Notamacropus eugenii: one gene and its partners. The protein of the gene in region 1 interacts with the protein of each later gene in a pairwise test. Links are inferred from orthologs where the notes say so. Each region holds a gene or a part of one and is shown in the gene's direction. Other genes may lie near its edges.

Evidence for each region.
Region 2: the proteins of ZYX (region 1) and TUFT1 interact in binary tests that used the Homo sapiens proteins (3 or more experiments, as listed by UniProt). The link is inferred for Notamacropus eugenii from reciprocal best matches to the Homo sapiens genes ZYX and TUFT1.
Region 3: the proteins of ZYX (region 1) and CASS4 interact in binary tests that used the Homo sapiens proteins (3 or more experiments, as listed by UniProt). The link is inferred for Notamacropus eugenii from reciprocal best matches to the Homo sapiens genes ZYX and CASS4.

What each region holds. Positions count from the first base shown.
Region 1 is NC_092874.1:104,911,707-104,918,958, reverse strand, and holds the start of ZYX (zyxin), read left to right. Parts: upstream 1-4,175; 5' UTR 4,176-4,190; intron 4,191-4,568; 5' UTR 4,569-4,674; intron 4,675-4,843; 5' UTR 4,844-4,855; coding exon 4,856-5,063; intron 5,064-5,524; coding exon 5,525-5,715; intron 5,716-5,971; coding exon 5,972-6,064; intron 6,065-6,380; coding exon 6,381-6,878; intron 6,879-7,252. UniProt on the Homo sapiens protein: Adhesion plaque protein. Binds alpha-actinin and the CRP protein. Important for targeting TES and ENA/VASP family members to focal adhesions and for the formation of actin-rich structures.
Region 2 is NC_092873.1:305,446,790-305,454,549, forward strand, and holds the start of TUFT1 (tuftelin), read left to right. Parts: upstream 1-4,710; 5' UTR 4,711-4,893; coding exon 4,894-4,953; intron 4,954-7,760. Other genes in the region: CGN (cingulin), read left to right, coding at 1-7, 741-882. UniProt on the Homo sapiens protein: Involved in the structural organization of the epidermis. Involved in the mineralization and structural organization of enamel.
Region 3 is NC_092872.1:509,784,328-509,792,238, reverse strand, and holds the start of CASS4 (cas scaffolding protein family member 4), read left to right. Parts: upstream 1-4,861; 5' UTR 4,862-5,134; coding exon 5,135-5,179; intron 5,180-7,911. UniProt on the Homo sapiens protein: Docking protein that plays a role in tyrosine kinase-based signaling related to cell adhesion and cell spreading. Regulates PTK2/FAK1 activity, focal adhesion integrity, and cell spreading.

The sequences.
Region 1 (7,252 bases):
CCATCAGAAACTAATCACCTATATACCTACTCTCCCATTTATACAAAATCCTTTTGAAAATCACCTATATAGTAATTGAGAGCATCCTTAACAAGGGTATTCAGGTAGGGAAATGACTTTTAGAAGCAATCTTCAGCTATGGACCACACCTTTACTATTTCAAAATGAAAGATTAGAGAATGTTAAGGTCCCATTTTACCCATTATTTGTTAATTATAAAAAAAACAACAACATTTGATTCATATGAACAAAATGCTTCCTTGTATGCTTTTTTACAACAAAATATCTCCCATCCATACATTTGTAAAAATATATTCACTAAAGACTGTCCTTCAAGGAAATCTCAAGAAATAATATAATGACAAGATCCTGGTTTGTTGGCTAGTTGGTTGTTGTTCTTCATTCTTGAAGAGGACCAAAATGACGTCACTATGCTAGAGTCAAGTTACAGTGTGTCCAACTATGGCTGATCAGACCAATAGGAGCTCAAAATGTTCTACCACTGAATGGGCACAAATACGTTATGTGAACATTTGGGGTGAATTCTCTAAATCTGCGCATCTCACGTTTCTTTTGAGCTATTTCAATTCTTCTTTGCTCATAGAGCCCTGCACCTACTCTGATGAGGGCAGGCCATGCTGAACGGTCCTGTGCCAGTAGATCCCATGTCACACAATCAATGCCAAAGTTCTTAAGGACACCCTGAGATTGTCCTTGTAATGTTCTTCTGACCACCATGTGAACCTTTGCCCTATGTGAGTTCTCCATAAAATAGTCTTTTTGGCAAGTGTTCGTTTTGCATTTGAAGAAATTCTGAAGATCACCTGGCAGGATCCTAGCCTAAAAGAGGCAGTTAGATAGCAGAGCAGCTCTAGAGACCTGGACCTGAGGTCCGGAAGACTTATCTTCCTGAATTCAAATCTGGCCTCAGACACTTACTAGCTGTATGACCCTGGACAATTCACTTAACCCTGTTTGCTGTAGGTATTCATCTGTAAAATCAGCTGGAGAAGATTTTGGCAAACCACTTCAGTATCTTTGCCAACAAAACCCAAATAAGGTCTTGAAGAATTAGACCTGGTCTAAAGTCCTTGGCCTCTCCTTAACGAAAAACAAAATAAAACTTATTGGTCTCCCTGCTTTTGAAGGTGTGGTCAATGCAAAGGAATAAACACCCTATTCCAAAGTTCTTGGTTTCATTCTTATCAAAGATCTAATTGAGTCAATCAAATTTAGGAAGGAAACCTGAAACCTTGAAACTAAGATTAGGTTGGTGACCAAACTAGGAGCTTGAATATCTTTGTGTGTGTGTGTGTGTGTGTGTGTGTGTGTGTGTGTGTGTGTGTGTGTGTGTGTGTGTATGTATGTATATAAATATATACATATGAAATAAACATATAAAGAACTTTGAAAGAAAGGCATTCAGATGACTGGGGGAGTGGGATATACCTTTGCCCTTTCTCCCCTTCCATTCATTTGTATATGGGACCAAAAAGAACCTTGAGGTTGAGAAAATCAGGGAACTTTTGCTGAGAGGGAAGTCTTTAAAGTATTTCTGAAGTGGTGATGCTTGGCAGTTGGAATATAAACAGATGTTATAAGGGTTTTCTGATCCTAAATTAGATAGAAGTTTGGAAGAGACCTTGCTTTTGGTGAAGTTTGGGTTGAAAAATAGATTTAATGCCTTGTGTGTGTTCATCCTTCGTTGCCATCAGAGAAATAACGACATGACTTGCACTTGACTTTGTTTTGAGTGAGGAAGGGCTGTGTAGGTCACCAACCTCACTTCTCCTCCAGACCCCTCTGAATCCAGTGACCAGATATTCATCAGGATGACTGGAGATGACCCAGAATGAGGCAGTTGGGGTTAAGTGACTTGCCCAAGGTCACACAGCTAGTGAGTGTCAAGCGTCTGAGATGAGATTTGAACTCAGGTCTTCCTGACTCCTGCACTGGTACTCTATGCACTGCACCACCCAGCTGCCCCTTAATGTTTTGTGGGCAAAAATTAGCTAACTATTTTGTAAATCAAAAGGACTTTGCCTCTGAAAGAAAATCTTTGTCTCTGAAGAGGAAAGTCTATATCATGACCATGACTCTGAATACTACCAAACTAATCAATGGGAAGGAAAACAATTAGCAGTGATGTGATGTGATGGCTCTGCATTTCTAAAAGATGTGAAGCCTTTGGACTTTAAGCTAAAAGAGTCATGGTGGAGAGCCCACCCCTCTCCTTCTTACAGCAAGAGATAACACACTTCAGCTGATGATTCTAGCTGGTTAGAAATTAGTAATAGAACAAAGCTATCCAATCTTGTATCTGGTGGATCCATATTTGGCAGGAACCATGTAGACCAACAGAAGACCATATAGCAGAAGCCAAGCAAGATCAGTGGGGAGTATTCCTAGGTGGAGCAGCATGGTAACATCTCCAGAAGACATCAGCAGCCCTAGGTTTCAAAGGTGTGAGTTGCCCATCCCTGGGTATACCCTGCGAATAAGTGTTTTCTACATATGTGCCCCTCCATACATGTTTCCTAGTTGTAGTTCACCTCTTCCAGTGATGGTGTGTGTTTATAGAAGAGTGTTATTCAGTTTTATGGGGGAATTATTCTAACGTTATTTCTTCTTATGAGGCTAATTCATTAAATGCCTTTGCATTCATCTACTGTTGTCTGCTCACTAACTAGTAACAATTAACAAATTAGGGGATAATGAACTATGATCTGAGTGGATGTGGACTCTGAGTACCGGAGACCCAATTGTGAGTGGGGTACTGAGGTGTTACCTTAGTATTATATAATTCTTGTACATAACATAGCCTGTGTAGCTTATAAGCAACTTGAGGTCAGTGTTTGTATTGGTTTTCATCTTTGAAATCCAGTGTCTTGCGTTGCATAGATACTTAATAAATACATTTAAATTGACTTTTTATTAAATTGATGAGGAAGGTAGTGGAAATGAAAATAAGGGAGCATGTAGGAGAGGTAGAAGGAGCTTAGAATGTGAAATACTTGAACACAGAAACAGTCCCTTTTGCTTGTACAGTAGTTGTATCCTATATTGCTTAGCACAGGACCTGGCACATGATAAGTACTGAATAAATGCCAATTGACTTGATACTCTTCAAAAGAAGAAAGTACAGCATTTGATAATGAGGGATAGACTACAGATGCTTACAGCACTGGAAGTCCCCATCCACCACTTACTTACTAGGTGTTTGTGGAGGAAAAAGTGAGGCTGGTGACCTTGCATAGCACTCCCTCACTCGAATCAAAGTCAACTGCAAGTCAGGTCATCATTTCCCTGATGTCATGGTCCTCTTCGAAAATGAAGGACAAGCACAATAACTTAGGTGTATGACCCTAGACAAGGTATTTACTACCCTTATGGCCTAAAGACTCTTCCTCTTTAAAAAGAGGGGTTGAAGTAGATCTAAGGTCCCTTTCATTTATAGTTTTCTTATTCAATGACGCTAGTTAGGTTTTCTTTCTGGCGGAGGGGGGGTAGGAGTGTGGGGGTGTGTGGAGAGATGCACCCAAACTGAATTGGTTTTGGCTTTTGTGTGTGTAAAAATACCTTTCTGACCTCTCCATATTCTCCCCCCAAACCTTCAATAACTGAAAAGACCACACCCACCTCCACTTCCCTTCAGTTTCAGGCCAGCCCAGTGCATGCCTCTAGCAATTCTGAGTCTTAAATTCACTAGCCCAGAGGGGCTTTTGGGGTGGAGCTCTGGCTAACCCGGAGCTGCTGAAAAGACGTATTTTGAACTCGTAGCTCAAGAGCTAGAAACCTTTCCTGGACCCCTAGGGAAATAGGGTCTGGTGATTTAGCAGTCCTTCCTCATTTCACTGCCCCGGCGCCCTCGGTCCCCCCATTGAAACGTGTGGATTTTGTCTAAGCGTGTACGTGTTGGCGGCGGCCGTGGGGAGAGGGTGGGAGGTGTGTTTAGTGGCTAGGAGCGGGTCTACGTCCTTTCTCCCTAGAGTCTAGACCCAGAGCAGGCGGTAGGCGGGAATTCTTGGGGACCTGGGTGGAGGAGGAGAACGGGGGGCGGGGAGACAGGGCTGGGGGGGCTAAGAGAACAGCTGGTTTGGACTGGAAGACCAAGTCAGGGGCAAAGGCTGGATCTGCTCCTTCGGCCCCCAGCCCGACTTTGGCCGCACAAAGCCGAACGGGGGTGGGAGGTGAGGATGGGGGTGGGATGGGGGGAACTGGGACAGTGAGTCAGACCTCCGGGAAGGAGGAGGGGGCCGCTGTGTGTTGGGGGGAGGTCAGGAAATGACATCAGCGGAGCGTGTTTTGGGAGGGCCGGCCCGTCTCTGACTCTGTAGCCCGCGGGGAGGTTTGCTGGGAGGAGGATCTTCTCTGCTTTCCCTGGTCCTGGGCGTGATCTGGGCCCCTTCCTGGGGGAGTTTCCTGCTCTCCCACCCCCCAGCCCAGCCCAGCCACCTCGTCTCCCCAGTTCTCCCCGCCTCCTGGCTCCAGATCTCCCCGCCTCCTCTCTGGGCCGCTCCTTGTATGGTCTCCCTGCCTCTGTGTCTCCCCGCCCTCCTTCCCCCCAGTCAGAAGCCGCTCGGGACGCCCGGACGGACGGAGTCACAGCTGGGCTGGACGTCGCACTGACCACTGTTCCTTCGTGCTGGCGGAATAGACGGGCCGAGCCCCGCGGTGAGAGAGGATGGGGTAGAGGGGACAGGCGGCCCCGGCCGCAAGTTCAGGGTGGGGGGTGGGGGGGGCCTGCGGGCCCTTCCCTGTCCCGGGGCTGGGGGCTCCAGAGCGGGCGGGGAGAGCCATCCATTCATCCTTCTGTCCATGGTAACTGCGGCCCTTCCTCCAGCCCAGCCTCCGCATGGCGGCCCCCCGGCCCCCCCCTGTCATCTCCGTCTCGGTCTCGGCGCCCGCCTTCTATGCCCCGCAGAAGAAGTTTGCCCCGGTCGTGGCCCCCAAACCCAAAGTGAACCCTTTCCGGGCCGGGGCTTCGGAGAACCCGCCAGGGCCCGGGGCCCAGAGGGCTCAGATGGGCAAGGTGGGGGAGATTCCTCCCCCACCCCCGGAAGGTAAGGACTTTGTGGGGGGATGTCTGGAAGCCAAGGGGTGCAAGGGATCGAGGAGCTTGTGTGGGTAGGGGTGGGGAGGTGGAGAGGGTATCGGGCCACTCGGTCTGAGCAGATGTTCTTACCTCATCTTGCAGCCCGTGGCCCCGAGCCAGGACTCCTGGGTCCATTTCAAATTCCTGGCCCGGGGGTGGGTGTGAGCGAGAATGTGTGTGGGGCATGGCTCTTTGAGTTTGCTTGTTAAACTGAAAGGGGGAGTGAGTTCCCTTCTCAGCAGGACTTCCTGACTTAAAACATACCTTCTTAATGGAAAGAGATCTCTTTATGGGGTACTGGGATACCCAGGACTTCAGAGGCCTGAACAGGATGCCCAGTAAACCTTAGGTCTTACCTCATTCCTTACAGGCCCTCCCAGTACAACTGGAGGAGGGCCTTGTTGATGAATCTCTTTCTCCTGCCTCTAGATTTCCCTCTGCCACCACCTCCATTGCTACCTGGGGATGATGGAGAGGCTTCTTTGGGAGGGCCCTTTCCGCCACCCCCTCCTCCATTTGAGGAGCCATTCCCCCCTGCTCCAGAAGAAGAGACATTCCCTTCCCCTCCACCTCCTCTGGAAGAAGAAGTGGGGGTTGAACCTCCAGCACCAGCCCATCAGGTGAGTGAAGGGAAAAGAGCACTGGGCTGAAATGGATACTCCATAAAAGGGCTATAGAAGGAGGCCTACTGTTTCTGCCTGGCTTTCTCCACTTATGGGCAGGGAAATATTCAGTGGGGGCAGGGAACTTTAGGAAACTTCCATATAGCCCTATAGGCTGTGTAGGATTGAATATCCTTGGGGGAGGGGAGTCCTGAAACTCAGTGTACGATGTATAAAGAAGTCTGCCTGGGTCCTCAAATTCTTTACTCCTCAGCCTAGAGGAAAGGTGAGCAGCATTGACCTGGAGATGGATTCTCTGTCCTCCCTTTTGGATGACATGGCCCGGAATGATCCCTTCAAGCCCAGGGTGAGGGATGGGGTAGGGAAAGTGGGGGAGGTCAGGAATGTATGTGTGTGTTTGGGGGCTGTGTCTTTGTAGATAAAGTGAACCTACATAGGTGTGTGTGTGTGTGTGTGTGTGTGTGTGTGTGTGTGTGTGTGTGTGTGTGTGTGTGTGTGTGTGTGTATTTGTGTGTGTAGATAAAGTGAACCTGCATAGGTGTGTGTGGGGGGGCTGTGTCTTTGTAGATAAACACAGTGAACCTACATAGGGGTGTGTGTGTGATAGGATAGACAACACCTTCTTCTAACTTAGTTCTCCCCCTAACTCCTCTCCCCTGCAGGTTTCATCTGGATCTGTGCCTCCCCCAGCTGCCCCCCAATTCCCTCCCAAGCCTAAAGTCCCATCTGCAGCTTCTGGCACAGCACCTCTTCCTCCTTGGCTGGCTCCTACTAGCCCTCCTCAGTCCCACTCTGTATCTGTGTCTAAGACCTTAACCACACAGCCTCGAGGTCCCCCAGCTCCAGCTCCACCAGTGGCTCCAGCTCCACCAGTGGCTCCACCTCCAGCTGTAGCTCCATCTGCAGTTCCACCCCCACCCCCAGCCCCTACCTCTACCCCCAAGTTTAATGCTGTGGCCCCCAAGTTCACTCCTGTGACCCCTAAGTTTAGTCCTCCAGCACCTGGGGGTCCCCCTCACAAGAAGGTGGGTCCTTCACCCCCCACTGCTGCAGGGTCCCCTCAACAGCCTCAGCCTCCCAGCTTCACCTATGCTCAACAGAGAGAGAAGCCCCGTGTGCAGGAGAAACAACGTCCCGTCCCGCCTCCTGCCCAGGACCAGGTGAGGGGAAACTACAGGGGTCTGAAAATAGGAGCAAGAGGAGAGGCTAAGCATAAAGTCAGAGCTTTCTGGAACCCAAAGTTAGAATGAGAGTGGGTGAATTTCTTCTGTGTGGAGTAGTGAGGCAACCAAAGTGAAGAAGGGAAACAGCACCTCCAGAGGAGGGACCTGGAAGGGTCTGGGTGTTTGGGTGGGGTAGGGTTGGGAGTGGGTAAGTAAAAGCACTAAATTTAGAGAGGCCTGAATGCTTAGTGTTTTAGTGGGGCTCTGAACTAAGTTGCTTTACTCTGGGCCTGAACTCAAGACTTCATCTCTAGGTCAACATTTAGATACTTTTCCACTTAGTCCTTTTTGAGTTCTTCCCCTTTAACAAT
Region 2 (7,760 bases), on another chromosome or scaffold:
ATTCCCGGTAGGTTCCATAGGGTTGGGGAAGGAGAGGTAAAGGAGGAGGTGAGGATGGAGACAAACAGACTGGTCAGCTCCTGTGTTCTTGTGGGCCTCATAAGGAGGGCTCAGCAAGTCTTAGGTGCTCTATTGGAGAGGTTAGGCCTGGGTTGACTGTATGCATGATAGGACTACACTGCCTATGGCACCCTGGTTGGGTCCCAGTAATATGATCATCTCCAGAATCTAGGTGGCACAGTTGATAGAACATCTGGATCTGGGCACAGGAAAACTGAAGTCAACCCTGCCTCAGACACACTTAATAGCTGTGTGTCCCTAAGCAAGGGACCTTAACCTCTGTCTGCCTTAATTTTCACAACTATAAAATGGGAGTAGTGATCGCATCCACCTCCTAGGATTGTTGTAAGCATCATGAGATACTTGTAAACCCTGAAGTGCTCTATCATGTTAGCCATTATTATTCTTATGAGTTTACCTGAGGTGAGAGAAGATTCTAAAAGTAAGGCTCTTTTAGTTTGACAGACATTTATTAAGTGCCAAATATGTACAAGGTACTGGACTAGATACTAGGGATATAGAAAGAAAAAAATAGGGAAAATGGTCTTTTTTTCCTGAGGAGATTATATTCTAGTTGTTGTCTGGGCCAGCTGAGGCAAAAGAATTGGGTTTTGTCTTTTGGCAATCAAATCGGCATCAGTTCTCCTGACTGACAGTGCTCTCTCTCTCCCTCTCCCTAGGCGCAAGGCTACCCGTTCAGCAGCTGAGGCATCCCTCAAGCGTGATGGCCTGAGCTCAGATGAGGAATTTGACAATATCTATGACCCCTCATCCATCGCATCACTGCTCACTGAGAGCAACCTCCAGACCAGTTCTTGCTAGCCAGTAGTCAGCAAGGAGATTAGCGGCCAGGTTGCAGAAGGTTCTTCCCTCCTCTGACCCTAGGCTCCTTTTTCCCTGGTCCACCAGAGGACCCTGCTAGAGGGAGGGTCTGGATGGTGGTAAGGGGAATTCCTGAGCATGGGACAGAGTAGAGCTATGAAATGCACTTTCCCTCGCCTCCTCTGCGGAGTTTGGGTGGGAGTGGGTAGGTGACAGGAGAGAAGGAATTAAGAGATTTTAACCTATAGAGCTTGTACTTTTTCAGCCTCTTTATCCTAAGGCTCAGGGACATTCTCCATGTGATCCTTTACCCATCCTTTTCCTGATTGGGAAAGGAGGCTTGGGAGAAGGGAGATATCATGGATTGTGGACACGCTGGCGTGGTCCTGCCTGCTTTTCTTTGCACAATCTGTGGGTCACTGGGGTACCCCAATGCCTCTAGACTTTCCATTTTACCTTTACCTGCTTTGAGCCAGCAGATCCAAGGGACCCTTTTTCCTCTTCCCAAGTCATCCTTCTTACCTTCTTCTCAGTGCCTTAGCTGGGGTGAGGAGATGGGGTGATGCTCTTCCAAACATAACCTCCTCACATCACCATCAGGTTCCGTTTTTGGTCCTTGTGCTCATCCTTATTCTCCAGATTGCTGGTTAAGAAGGTAAAACAAGACAAGCTGTCTTTCCTTTCTAGGGAAAGGAGAGGCAAAAAGGGCCTGTGCTAGGGTAACATGGTTTTGTGGGAAGGACTTCTTACGTTCATGGGCTTCCCTTGGTGGCTATGTGGTTATGATTTGGTTGGGGCTAGGGAGCCCTGCCAGTTGTCTCAATACATTTAAAGATTCACAGATCAAAGAGCCTCGTCAGGTCTAATGGTTCCACTGCAGGCTTCCCACAGATCTACTCCTGGCCACAACAGGGAATCCAAGGATCCCTCATTTTCTCAGGAGCCTGGTCCCTAATGCTAGCTTCTCTGCCTCAAGCTTGGAATTCTGACTTCAAAATGGAATGAGAGGAGGAAATGAAGACCTCCATACAGCCTTTGGCTTTTTAGGACAGACCCAGCCCAAATGAATCAGCAGCAGCAGCCTGGGGGAGGGAAGCATGACTACACTCACCAATGACTTGTAACTTTGTGATTTTTGTACCTCTTTTCCTTGGACAAATCAGATATCTTTCTTTCCCTCCAATTTTTTTCCTCCTTGATTTTATTTTAAATTAAAATATATATATAAATATATATATCTTTATATTGTGGACCTCATTATCCCCTCACCTTCCCTCTATGGCTGTTTTCCTAAGTTCTTAACATCCAAGAGCTGAAATTGGAAGGGACTTCACAGCTCTACATGATGGGGAGGGAGCTGGGCAGCACAAGCTGCAGCCCGAGAAAAACCCAGGGGTCCTGGCTGTATGACCTGTCCCATTCTCCACTAAATTCAAGGGAGGTACAAAAGGCATGGAGGTTGTGGAATCTGTTAGGGGCAGAGGGGCTTTGAAGAGGGGGGGAGGAATGATTGGGCAGATATGGAACCAAATAGAACTGGTTCTCATTCCCTGGGGCTATCAGGATGAGGGGAAAAGGAAATTCCCAACACCCATTTCTCAGGTGCAAGGGTCCCCACCCATTCTTACTTGGCATAGAGCCCAATCCTTGTGGTGGGGTGGGGAGGCAGAGTTTCTGCCAATCCTGTTCAAGTGTCTGTTTGAAAGGGGCAGCTATCTTCAGGCATGGTGCTATCTCCAGTGCTACTTATCTCTGTGCTATCTGCCAGGGTACCTGGTGGACTTGAGTTCTAGCAGCACAGGGGTATGCCAACAGCAAACTTACCAAACGTGCCCGGGGCCACCTGCAGTCTTTCCAATGCCAGACTTATCGTGCCTCATTCTGAGACGAAGCCCTAACTTACCTGTGACCCAGTGTGGTAGTCACCTGCCTAGAGTGGTAGAGTGCCTGGGCTGGGAACTGGAGCCTCTGGGTCTTATGCCAAAGCTTTGCTCCCTTGTCTTCTCTTTCTTTGGAATGTTTAAGTAGAAGAAAGGGGGTTTTGTTTATCAGCCTTTGCAGTTTCTTCTTACCTGTTTATACTTCCTGAGTCCTTGTTTTAAAATTGCTATCAACATGAAAATTGTGACGTGCTTGCCTATATCCCTTTGCTAACGTTTACATGTTAAGAAACTTTATAAAAGGACTTTGGTAAACTAGAGTCCATTCAGAAGTGTGCAATCAACTGAGTGAGGGTACTGGGAAACCGTGAATAAAAAGATCATTTGGAAGAACTAGGGCTGTTTTGCCTAGAAAACAAGGTTTAGGGAGGACCCTGAAAATAGCTAATGATAACAGCTAACACTTAACTTAGTGCTTTACAGTCTGCAAAGTGTTTTACATATATTATCTCATTTGATCCTCCACAACTCTGTGAGGTAGGTGCTATTATCCTCATTTTATAGATGAGAAAACAGCCTGAGAGAGATTAAATGATTTGCCTGCAGTCACACGGCTTAGTTATCTGAGGCTGGATTCAAACTCGGGTTTTCTTGACTCTCAATCCAGCACTGTCATCTATACCACCAAGCTGCCTTTCGATGATATTACTTATCTTCAAATACTGAAAGGACTGTCATGTAAAAAGGAGGCTTGATTTAGTCTGCTTGGTCCCAGAGGGCTGAATCCAGCAATGCACAAAGTTGCAGAGGCAGATATGGAAAAAGCTCAAAAGTTGAGTTCCCCTAAAATGGAATAAGCTGGCACTGAAATAGCTAGTGATCATCATTGAAACTCTTTAAGTGGAGCATTGACCATTTATTGATGATTTAGTTGAGGGAATTCTTAGTCTGCTCCAGTTTGGACTAGATAATTTGTGAGATTGTTTCCAACTGGGAGATTCTATGATTGTGTGGAGCATGCAAGATGGCTGGCTCCCTGAGATCAAGTTACAAGACTTGATCCGGGAGGGCAAGCCAGTCTAGTTCCTGGGAGTACAGATCACTCTTGGCAGTTCAGCCCACCTGTATCGCCTATGGAGGAGAGCAGCTGCAATTGATTCTAAACCCTGCCTGGACAAAAACAGAACCAGCTGGCATCCACCGGCAGGTTCTTGCCAAGCCAGGGCACCTGACAGGCAGGCCTATACTCAGCTTTAGTGAGGGTGACTCGCTGACATGCATAACTACAGAGGGAAGAGAAAGGGACCATCCAGCTCCACAAAGCTCTTATGCTCACAATATCGTAGGGTTTAGAACTGGAAAGGACTTTTTTTTAAGCCTTTTAGTGATGAGGAAATCAAATAGTAGAGATGAGTCTCCAACATCTTCCCTTTCCATTGTCAGACTCGATTAGAACTCTGTGGAGTTCTAATACTTCCCCCATCCCCTCTAGGCATGAGGTAGCCCCCCCCCCCCCCCTTTGGTTCCATCCATCCATCCGGAACAGCTAGGAACTAATTCGTAGCTTGGGGAGGGGAAAGGAGACGCTGAGGAAGGCCAGTTGGAGAGGAAAGGGATAGGGAGAGAAAAAAAGAAGTTGACCTGAAAGTCGGATGACCTAGAATCTATTTACTACCTGTCTGACTTTAGATAGGCCACTCCCCCTCTCTGGGTCTCAGTTTGCTCAGCTGTTCTATGAGACGGGCCAGGACTACATTTACCCGAGCTCTCAGGTACTTTGGTTATAAAGTAACACTTACTGAAATTAACATTGGAGACCTGGAAAGTCACTCCTGTGTGGCGCCATAACCCCGCCCTTTATGCAAATAGAAACTGCCGCCAAGGGGGGCGTGGCCAGGCTACTAATACCCTGTCCCGCCCCTAGCTGCTTCCCCCGCCCCTCTGTCCTCTTCCAGTTGGCTGAGTCTAGACTGAGAGGAGGTGTGGCTTCCCCGGCTTGCCCGTGGCTCGATGCGCCTATATATAGGGGGGCCGGTCCCGGCGTCCCGCCTTCCCAGTAGGATCTGGACCGCTGCGGAGCGCCGTGCTGGCCTTTTCGGAACCGCTCCGGAGCGGTCCGGGCCGGAAGACCATGAACGGGACGGGCAACTGGTGTGCTCTGGTGGACTTGCACCCCGAGGGGGAGAGCGCGGTAAGAAGGGGCAGCGGCCCGCTGGGGCGCAGTCCCGTCCCCCATCCCTTCATTCCCTGCCCTGCTCCCCTTTCTCCCGGCCCATCCCCAGTTTCGCTCGGTTGTCTTAGGCGTTTCCTCCCAGTCCTGTGCCATCTTCCGCAGGTATCAGGCCTCTTCGCGTTCCGCCCCCACCCCCAGCCGGGTACAGCTCCCGGACATGGTCTGGGATATTGGCCACCTGCCCTTGGGAGGCGACGGCCCGTCCTTGGCTCCCCGTGACACTGCTGGTGCGGTGACGACTTTAGCCCTTGAACCTTGCTTGGATCACTCATCGGTTGAACCTTGAGAGAGGGAGGGAGGACGTATTTCAATTCAACCTGCGTTCATGAAGCCTTATGCTCGGTGCTTTAGCTAATTTTAAAGGGGGAAATAGCCCCTGCCCTCCCAGAATTTACCTTCTGCTGGAGGAGCGGCTCACACGCACCCAAGGAAATTACAATACCAGGTAGTTGGAGAAGACAGACCGACATACCATTGAGGGTAAATCAGAAAAGGCTGAATCAGCTGAACTCTTCCGGAACTTCGGTTTTTCTAATTTGTAAAATGGGGATTGGGATAGTATCTGCATCCCCCACCTCACAGGTTCGTTAGGAGGCAAAGACTTAAGTCTACCTAGAAGTACCATGTAAAAGAGTGATGATGTGATGGATGGTGATAATGAATTCATATGACAGGATGTGAATCTGGGGAGGACCTGCTTTTTATTTACTCTATTTCTAATTATCTCTCAGTTTCTGATTTCGGAAGAATTCAGAAGTTTCTGGTTTCACTTTGTGACCTGTAGCATCAGAGATGCAGCTGAGCTCTTAAAAAATTGATGCAGGGTACTTTTTGGACCAAAAAAAAAAAAAAAAAGACTGGATTTGCCCTTCCCCCTCCTTATTCAGGTTCCTCCTGTGGAGCAAGATTCAAATGAAAACCACCTAGAGAGGCATGTCTTTCTTTGAGAGATGGTCTTTTTCTGCTGTGGAGAAATCCACCTCCCAGGAGAGCCTCTAATGGGACCAGTCCTCTATCCTACAGGCTGTGACCCCAACCTACTTCTGGTGTGATCCTGAGTGTCTTTTAGTTGTACTTTAATCTTCAAGTCTGTGGGAGGCCAGGGTGGAGGAGGAGGAGCTAGGACAAGAAATGGGCCCTGGTCCTTTACTACACAGGGCCTAGAGATTTCCCCACCCCAATACAAGTGTGCCGCATATTTCTTTGACCCCACTACCCAGCTGTTCCTAGAGTTTCCCAGGGAGAGGAGGTGGAGGGTAAGTTGTGTGGTTCTGTGTTTTCTGGCTCCTCTAGGGAATTTTACCCAGCGTGGGTGTGTCTGGTTTCATAGATTTTCAAGCTGCTATGGTTTAGAGTGAAACAGGATAGGGGATGTTTGTAAGGAGGTGTGTCTCCCTTCTCCCTGGATTTTTTCCTCCTCTTTTGTGGCTGCCTGATGCATTGTCCTTGAGGTAGCCTTTCTCCAACTCACATGTTAATTCATTTAAATTATATTTGTGCACTGGTAATTTCGTATAATTGGCATTGGAATTCACTCATCGTTCCCCTTGTCTCCTGCCCCCCAGCAAAGGAAATTGAGTTTCTTTCAAGCAGATAGATGCCTTGGTCCTGCACCCCCCAGACCATGCCTCCTTCTAGGCAGTGGCTACTTTTCTTCTTTATCCTATCCTAGTTTCTGGATTCTCAACAGAACATTCATTCTCTTTTGTTCTTTGCCCTGGCCTAGCCCTACGATTTCTTGTTTCCTGTCCCTGATGGGGGCAGGGAGAAGATGTGTGTGTGTGTGTGTATATGTATGGTGGGGGGGCAAGAAATAGACAGGGAAAGGGATATTCAATACTCTGTATGGATGAAGAAACAGTCTCAGAGATGGCAGGGCACTCCTGAGGTCATTAGGCCAAAGCATTGGTTTTATTGAGAATGTATCCCTGTTCTTTCAGTCTCTAATGTGTTTTTCCTTGTCTGATAGAGCAGAAAAATGGATAAGAAAATGGGGAGAATGGAATTCAGACCCTCTTCTCCTTTCTGAAAGAATCTGAAACCAGATCCCTTTGAACACAGGAAGTAGAAATTCCCTCCTACTTTTAGTCTATGGAGTCAAAGGTTTATCTTGTACTGAGATTAGGGAGGAATGAACTGGCCGGTTACTAGCTCGTCCTGGACCTTGAAAGAGATGGGTGAGGATGAAAATCAGGCACCCACAGCAGGCTCCCCCCAGAGGATGTCCTGGATTTTTCCCTTCTGACCCAGCCCTAGTCAAGCACCTGGGACTTATGGCTCTCTGGCTGGTCTCCAAAACCCTGTTAATACTTATTGATGGATTCCTTTGTGAGTGGGCAGTGTAGCTGCCTGAACCAAAACATGGAATCCGTGAAGGGAGTCAAGAGCCAGGGTGTCCTTTAGAGTTTTCAAGTGGACATGATTTTTGTGAGTGGTAAAACTTCTTCTGATTTCCCCTTTTTATATTGGAGGAGGACAGAAGTAGGGATGACACAAAACAGCAGATAACCTAAATGTTTCGTATTTAAATGAATCAAAAAGCCTTTGTTAAATGCTTACTGTGTGCCAGGCTATATTTATCTTTGGCATGGATTCTCTGATTTTAACAAGCTTCCCCCCACACACCCCAAGATTCACCTTCCTACTTCTTATCTGCTTAACCTTTTCTTAACCTTTTTTGGGGGGACCTCTGTGGCAAGTCTGATGAAGCCAGTCGGCCCCTCCTCACATAATGTTTTTAAATACATAAGATTATAAAACAAACC
Region 3 (7,911 bases), on another chromosome or scaffold:
AATATAAAAGGAAAATGTGTGGGGTAGCCTGGCTTGGCCTAATCATCACATTCAATTCAATGTCAAAGAAGACAATATTGATTGACTATAACATGAAGCAGTTAAGAATTCATTAGTGTTATTGACTCTGTTAGATTGTAAGTAAGTAAGATCCCTCACTAGAAATGGCTTACACCAAGCATTAACATTTACTCAGGGTTGAGTCAGGGCTACCTTCTTAGTCCTGTAATTTTTAACTTAAAAATGGAATTGATAATACGTGCCTGGACAAGGACAAGATAAGGATATAGTTCACACAACAGGAAAATTGGTATCCAAAAGCATATACAGAAAATTGGCTATAGTGGTTCCCTGACCAAAATGCTGCACAACATAAATGAGTTTGCCACATGACCAAAACTCCATTTTAGCAGGACCAAATGCGTATCTTTCTTGAATGATAGCCAGAAGAAAACATGCCCCATGCAATTTCAAATATAAAAATCAAGGGATCTTAATAATGTCTGAAGAAAACATCTATTCTTACCTTGGAATTCCCATGGGGTTCCAAACCAAAATTCTGTCAAGGATGTGATAACCAACATGACTACAGACTTGGGCCTCATGGATATGTCATAATTGGCTCCTTGGCAAAAAATAGATGAAGTAAACACTTTCATCTTACCCCATGTGTCACTGCACTTCAAGAATGATGTGGTCCCTGAGAGTGCTCTTAGAGTCTTAGAAAAGCTAAAAATGACCTCAAGAGATGGGGCTATACTTGCCCCAGAGTCAATATTGACCACTGTATTTTTCTTATGAAATGAAGATGGGATAGATTGAATCTACTACTTCCAGTTGTAGCAGCAGGCATCATTCAGGTGGTTCATGGAGTGATGTTTCTGCATCAACTAATCTGGGCCAACCATTCTCTTAGAGATACAGTAAGGAACAAAATAAAACATGAACCTCAATCAGAGCACATGATCATTTATTTAAATGACTCTATGGAAGAAGAATTTGGAAATGAAGGCACAGTAGCATCTAACATCTGGTCCCAGCTACAGGTAGCCTCCCAATGACTGTCAGCTAAAATCTCAGTTGAGAGGAGACTGAATAGAATAGTGTTATCTTGGAACTATGGCTAAATAACACTTTGTTGGTCCTAGAAGGAATTGAGAAGAATTTAAAATGTGTGGTGTTTTTATTTTAAGTAGTCTGCAAACACAATCAGTATAAAGTATATTCCATTACCTTGATGGTTATAGTCTCAATTTTCCTTATGAAGAAAATATGCTTTACCTGATTTATGGACTGGTGATTCATTCACAGAGCCAGATTGGACTGTGTCCCATTGAATGGGGTCAGGAGATTTGGCTCTGGAAATAAGGGCTGTTTGTTGTTGACACAGGGCATCAAATGAAATGTTCCTTTGCCACTGTGGTCCTCAAAAGCATGGAGCTATTACTCAATGGCAGGATGCTATTTTTAAAAGATTAGTTAATGCCATTAAATTACCAAAAAAAAAAATTAACTAAGATTTGGGTAAATTCAACAGTTTTTGAACTAGGAGAGGCCTTAAGACCAGACTTAGCAAGAATTGTGTTACCACTATCACTGTGGTTGTTGACTTGTTTCAGTCACATTCAGCTCTTCCTGACCCAGGTTTTCTTGACAAAGATACTGGAGTGGTTTGCCATTTTATTCTCCAGCTCATTTTAAAGATGAGGAAACTAAGGTCAATATGGTTAAACGACTTACCCAGGGTCATGCAACTAGTGCATGTCTGAAGTCAAATTTGAACTCATGTCTTCCTTACTCCGGGGCCAGTGTTCCATTCACTGGGTCACCTAGCCACCCTACTATCATAGATATTATTGTACCTTTTGAAAATGGATATCTGGAAATTAATTATTTCAACTTATTTCTGTAAGTATTCTTCATGCTCTCACTGTTTTGTTCAAGTGATATTACCCATTTTCCATCCTCCTCTTTAATGTTTTGCAAACAAATGTGTATGCAAAACAATTTTAACCATGGTAGTTCATGTCTGCACTTGATGTTTGTTGGATAAAGCAGTTTCTGGGCTCTTATAGCTTCCTCATTATACTTACTATTTCACATCAATTAATCTCTAAGAAATAGTGATAGGGACAACATCTTTATCATGAAAATAACAGGAGTGATGACAACTCCTTTGAAAAGATGCAGTTAGAGTTGTTGCAATCACACACAACATCTTATTCTCGTTTTAATTCATTGCTCCAGGCTGGTTTTGATTTGGTCCTTCAATCAAACTATACAGTGAAATCAGAAAGCTGGATCTGAAATGACTCCAATGACCAGACATTTGCTATTTTGTTAAGATATAATAATTTTCACTTTTTTTGAAATGTTGCTATATGATCACCACATTCAGTGTCTTACAACTTTCTTCCTCTAGGAGGTATTCATGACTTATAAGCATGAGGCATCTGAGTCATCTGTAAGCCTTTGGCCTCTTTCATGTCTTGATTTCACATCATATTTTCCAACATATTGTAAACTTTGCTGCCCACTTTGCTTTGACATCTCAATGTACCAAGGTATACATTGATTTCTATGAAAGATATTTTCAAATTCTTCATGGTCTTTCCATATTTCATAGTCAATGTTGGGGTAGTTGTGGAAAGATAGGCACACAACTGCATTTTGGTGGACCTGTGAATTATTGCAACCATTTTGGAAAACAATTTAGAATCGGCAACTAAAATGATAAAAATATCCATCTTCTTTGACTCAGAGACTTTGCTGCTAGGCATATGCCTCAAGAAGTCTTTGATAAAAAGAAATGCTCCATATAAATCAAATATTTATAGTAGCATCTTTTTTTGTGGAGGTAAAGACCTAGAAAGAAAGGAAATACTGAAGGATTGGGGAATAGCTAAACAAATTGTTGCACCTGAATGTAATGGAATATTATTGTGCTATATGAAATGACAAATATGTAAACACTAAGGAGTATGAAAAGATTTACATGAAATAGTGTAGAGTGAAGTAAGAAGGATCAAGAAAATAATATACAAAATGACTAAAACAGAGTAAAGAACAACTGCCACAAAACATTTTTAAAAAAAGATGTGATAAAATTACAAAGAATGAGCATGACCACAAAGAAGAGAGGTGAGAAGACACCTCCTCCTACTCTTTTGCAGAGGTGGAGGGATTTCCCATTAAAAAACAACATATGGCATGGCTCTTTGGAAGAGAGATATGGAAGAATACAGAGAACTTAAGGTGATTTAACAACAAAAGACATCAATAAAAATGTATTTTAAAAGACTTTGAAGTCTCTACTTTTAAAATCCTTACTTTATTTTTTTTACAACAGACCTTAGTACATAAGCTGTGGTTTTATCTGTTTGTTTATGTTCATCATGAGCATTATAAGGTAAGATGCCCAAGTATCCAGTGAAGTGATGTTACTTCTTGCCTTCGGACATATGAAAAACTAATGGCCATTTTCTCTCTCTGTCTCGGTATCTCTGTCTATCTATCTCTTTCTCTCTCCGTATCTCTCACTCTCTATCTCTGTCTTTGTCTCTGTTTGTCTGTTTTTGTATTTCTGTATTTCTGTCTCTGTCTCTCTGTTTTTATTTCTATCTGTATCTGTCCCTCTTTCTGTTCTCTTTGACCCTGTCTCTGTCTCCCTGCACCTCTCTATCTCTATCTCTGTCTCTGTCACTTTTCATTCCTGTCTCTGTCTCTCTTTTTCTGTCTTTGTCTCTGTCACTCTCTTTCTTTGTTTCCCTGTCTTTGTCTCTCCATCATTCTCTGTCTCTAATTCTGTCTCTCTGCCTCCTTTTTTTCTTTCTATCTCTGACTCTGCATCACTCTCTGTCCTGTCTCTGTCTTTCTCTCTCCTTTTCTAAAAGCATGAATAGTCACATCAAACAGGCAGATATGGATGGATTGTGATCTGTATCACTGGAGAAAACATTCACATTGATGAGATCACAAATTCATATGAAAATTTGAGTGTCAGCTCAATGTTTTTTTTTTTGTAAAATAGTCTAAGAGACATACAACTGCGAGTACCCTCTGCTCTCTTCCCACCACTATCACTATAGAATTAGAAAGGAGACAAATGGTTTCATGGATTGCTATGGCTTAAAAAAATCATCGTATAGTGTCCAGCCTTCTACCAATGAGCCTTTTTGCATTTAGGTGGCCTGGAACTTGGGTGCCAGACTTGCAAAGTCCATATTTAAAGCTTTTCTGATATGATAAGACCTTCCCAAATTATGCCATTGGCATAGCGTTTAAGAACCCAGGACCATTTCCTTGCTCTGATGACAATGATGATGATGATGATATAATTAACATTTTTAAACTACATTTATTAAGTACCTACTATGTGCTAAGTACTAAACTAAACACTGGGAATACAAATAAAGGCAAAAGACAGTCCTTGCTCTCAAGGAACTTATTATAGTCTAATGGGTGGAACAGCATGTGTCAAGGTTAACACACACAAACAACTATGTACAAAGATAATTTGGAGATAATTATCAGAGAAAAGGCACTAGCATTAAGGAGGTATCATGAAGTGCTTTAATGTTTGCAAAGCACTTTACCTATATTATCTCATCCAACCCTTTGATAATGAAGAGGATTTTAAATGTAGAAAACTTGCAAATTAACCTTTTTTCTTCTTTTCAGTGGAGAAAGTTTGAAGAAGTCTGATTCACTTCACCCTAGTGTGAACCTATCAGACTTCGGCATGCAAAATCCAGAGCCTATAGCATTCTTCACTGAGTTATTTGAAATAAGAACTTCTATGAAATGGTAGGCTGACCTTTTTTTCTCTCCCTGTGTATGTGGTTTTACGAAGTGAGTGTAAGACGGGCAAACAGACTGGCGATCTCTGCTTGTACACAGAAAACCAGTGAAGAGTGAGAGGAGGTCATATTTATGGGGTCATACGCATCCATTTCATTTTCCACTTAAGAGACGTTCTAGAAATATTGCTTTTTAGAAGACTCCTTTCACCACCTTCCTGTGTGTTGTCAGATGACGTCTTTGAAGGACACTTTTGAGAAGTGACATTGCCTAATCATCCAGCCTCCTTCTCCCACTGTGACTGTCTGTCATACTACAAGAGGCACAGTTTGGCATGACAAAACTCAAAGGGATCAGCATCATGAACAAATCTCCAGAGGTAAGTGACACCTGGTTATTTAGATGGGGAAGAGGAAAAAGAAAGAGCCCTTTGAATGGGACACAGGTACTTATAATTTGGCTAAATGTAATAATTCATTCCTTATCACAGAAGAGATACAAATGCCCTAGTGGAGAGTGTGCGTGTGGGGAGAGTCATGCCTTGACTAGCAGCTCAGCTAATTAAGACCATCTGTTGTGTGGGACACCTGTGCTATGCAATTCTTTGTCAGTGATTCAGCCCCAAAGAAACCATGTGAAGTAATGAGTGGCTAGGGGAATCCTTCCCTTTTAGCTGTGTCTGGCAACAAACAATAGTATCTCTCTGTCACCAAACAGTCAATTTGGCAAGTATTTATTCAGTTTCTTCTGTGTACCCAGCTCTGTGCTTCAAAGTATGATAAACTACTACATTTGCCTAGAATTTCACTTAGACTTTTAGGAATAACTATTCCTAATGCTTCCCCACCCCACCCTCCACCCTCTACTGAATTTTTTTTCACTTAAAGCCAGTAACTCACAGTTAAATAATTACTAGCTGGTTTTATTTTAAATTGTAAACTTGTTGAGAGGTAGGACCAAAAGTAGTCAGTCTGATGTAGTCACTTAACCTCCATTTGCCTCAGTTTCCTCATCTGTGAAATGAGAATAATAATAGCACCTATCTGGATTATCAGAATCTAATGAGATGATACTTGTAAAGTGCTTAGCACAATGTCTGGCACATAGTAAGTACCATATAAATATTAATTATATTGTTTAGAAAATGAACTAGATTTACAGTCTGGAATACCTGAGTTCGAATCCCTTCTCTGACAAGAAGTGCGTGACTATGGGAAAATTGCTTTATCTCTCTGTGTCTTTATTTATAACATGGGGATAATTATAATTATAGTACTGTAATTCATGGAGGGTGGCGATGGGGGTAGGGGTGTCATGATCAAAATGAGATCATGGATGCAAGGTGTCTAAAAAGTCTTTGGTCATTTTTAAGCCATGACTTTTGGGACACCCAGTATAAAGTGCATTGCAAATCTTTTAAGTGATGGATAAATATTAATCATTGTTCTACTTTTTTAAAAATCCTTAACAACACCTAACCTAGTGCTAAGAATATAATATATGCTTAATAAATATTTAGTTATTGACCACTAACTTCCTTTTGAAGTGATTCAGTACATTGCTTTTGTTTTTAATTTTTATTATAAACTTAATCATTTACAAATTATTAATTCATGAATATGCTTTTGTACCAATTGATGAAAACAAACATGTAAAATTTTATGTAAACCTTCAACATTTAACAAATTAGAAACAAATGAACAAACAAAAAATGCTTTTATTTTCTGTTCCATTCCAAGATTGCTACTCTGCTACATTTGGCTTTCAAATATGTGCATGTGCATGAGTGTGTATGTGTGTGTGTGTGGGGAGGGGTGTATGTGTGTGTGTTTATATTTGGACCTATTTTACTATTGTAGGGAATCTCTTCCTGGTGAAGAAAATGCCTCCACCAGCATAGATCTGTGATCATTCTGCAACTTTCATTCTGCAACTTTCAGTCTTAGATTGATTGCTGCATGGGGCACTGTGAAATTAAGTGACTTTTCCAGGAGTATAGCCAGCATGTTTCAGAGCTAGATCTTGGATCTTGGTCCTCCTGACTCTGAGACCAACTCTCTATCCATTATGGCACATTGCTTCATATGTAACTGCATATACAGTATGTACATATATGCATATATATGTTATATTATGTGCCATGTTGCTTCTTCAAACATTATATGTTAGAAGATTCTGATCATTTTACTTTGCATTCCTTCATAGAGGTCTTTGCATATTTTCTCTTACACTTCCTATTTATCCTTTCTTTAGGGGGTAGCACTGTAATATAAATATCACAATTGAGCATGACATTCTCTAAACATTAAACATAGATGTTTCTAATTATTTATTTTTACATATAGAGAAGCAGAGATAATGATTGTATCAATAGATCCTTACTTACTTTCTATTCCATTTTTTAAAGACAAGGTCTAGGGACTTGACCTCTGATTTCAATGGAGTAGGGAACTCCCAGGTGAGGAAACTCCTCCCAATTTAACTCTGCTCCATCTCTGCAACTTAAGAGTCTTAGCTGTCTGGGGGCAGCTGTCACTAAAAAGTAAAATGACTCAGCCAGGGTCACTGGACCCTGATGTGTCACAGACTCGGGTCTTAATCCCAGATCTCTTTTTTTTTTTTTTTTGAAGGGGGAAGGCAAAGCAACTGGGGCTAAGTGACTTGCCCAAGGTCACACAGCTAGTAAGTGTCAAGTGTCTGAGGCCAGTGCTCTATTCACTGCACTACCTAGCTGCTCCGTAACCCTAGATCTTCCTGGTGCAAGGCTGTCTCTTTCTACTCTGCTGCCTCACTTTTGAGTCACCAGGTCTAAAGTTATGATCTGTTAATTAGATCATATTATATATTACTAGATTACTCTTCAAAATGTTTGCCACCATCAGCATTCACATTAATAATAATTCATTAGTTTTTATTTTATTTTTTAAAATGTATTAGAACTTCTTTCCCAACATTGATTTACCATTTCTGGGGTTATTTTGCAATTAAAGTAGACATAAAGTGATATCTTAAGGTTGTCTTTATCAGATAAGTTAGGTAACTTTTGGTGGGTCTTCCAAATTTATATTTCTTTCTGTCTACTACTTCTTATGATCAATCTCTATGAATAAA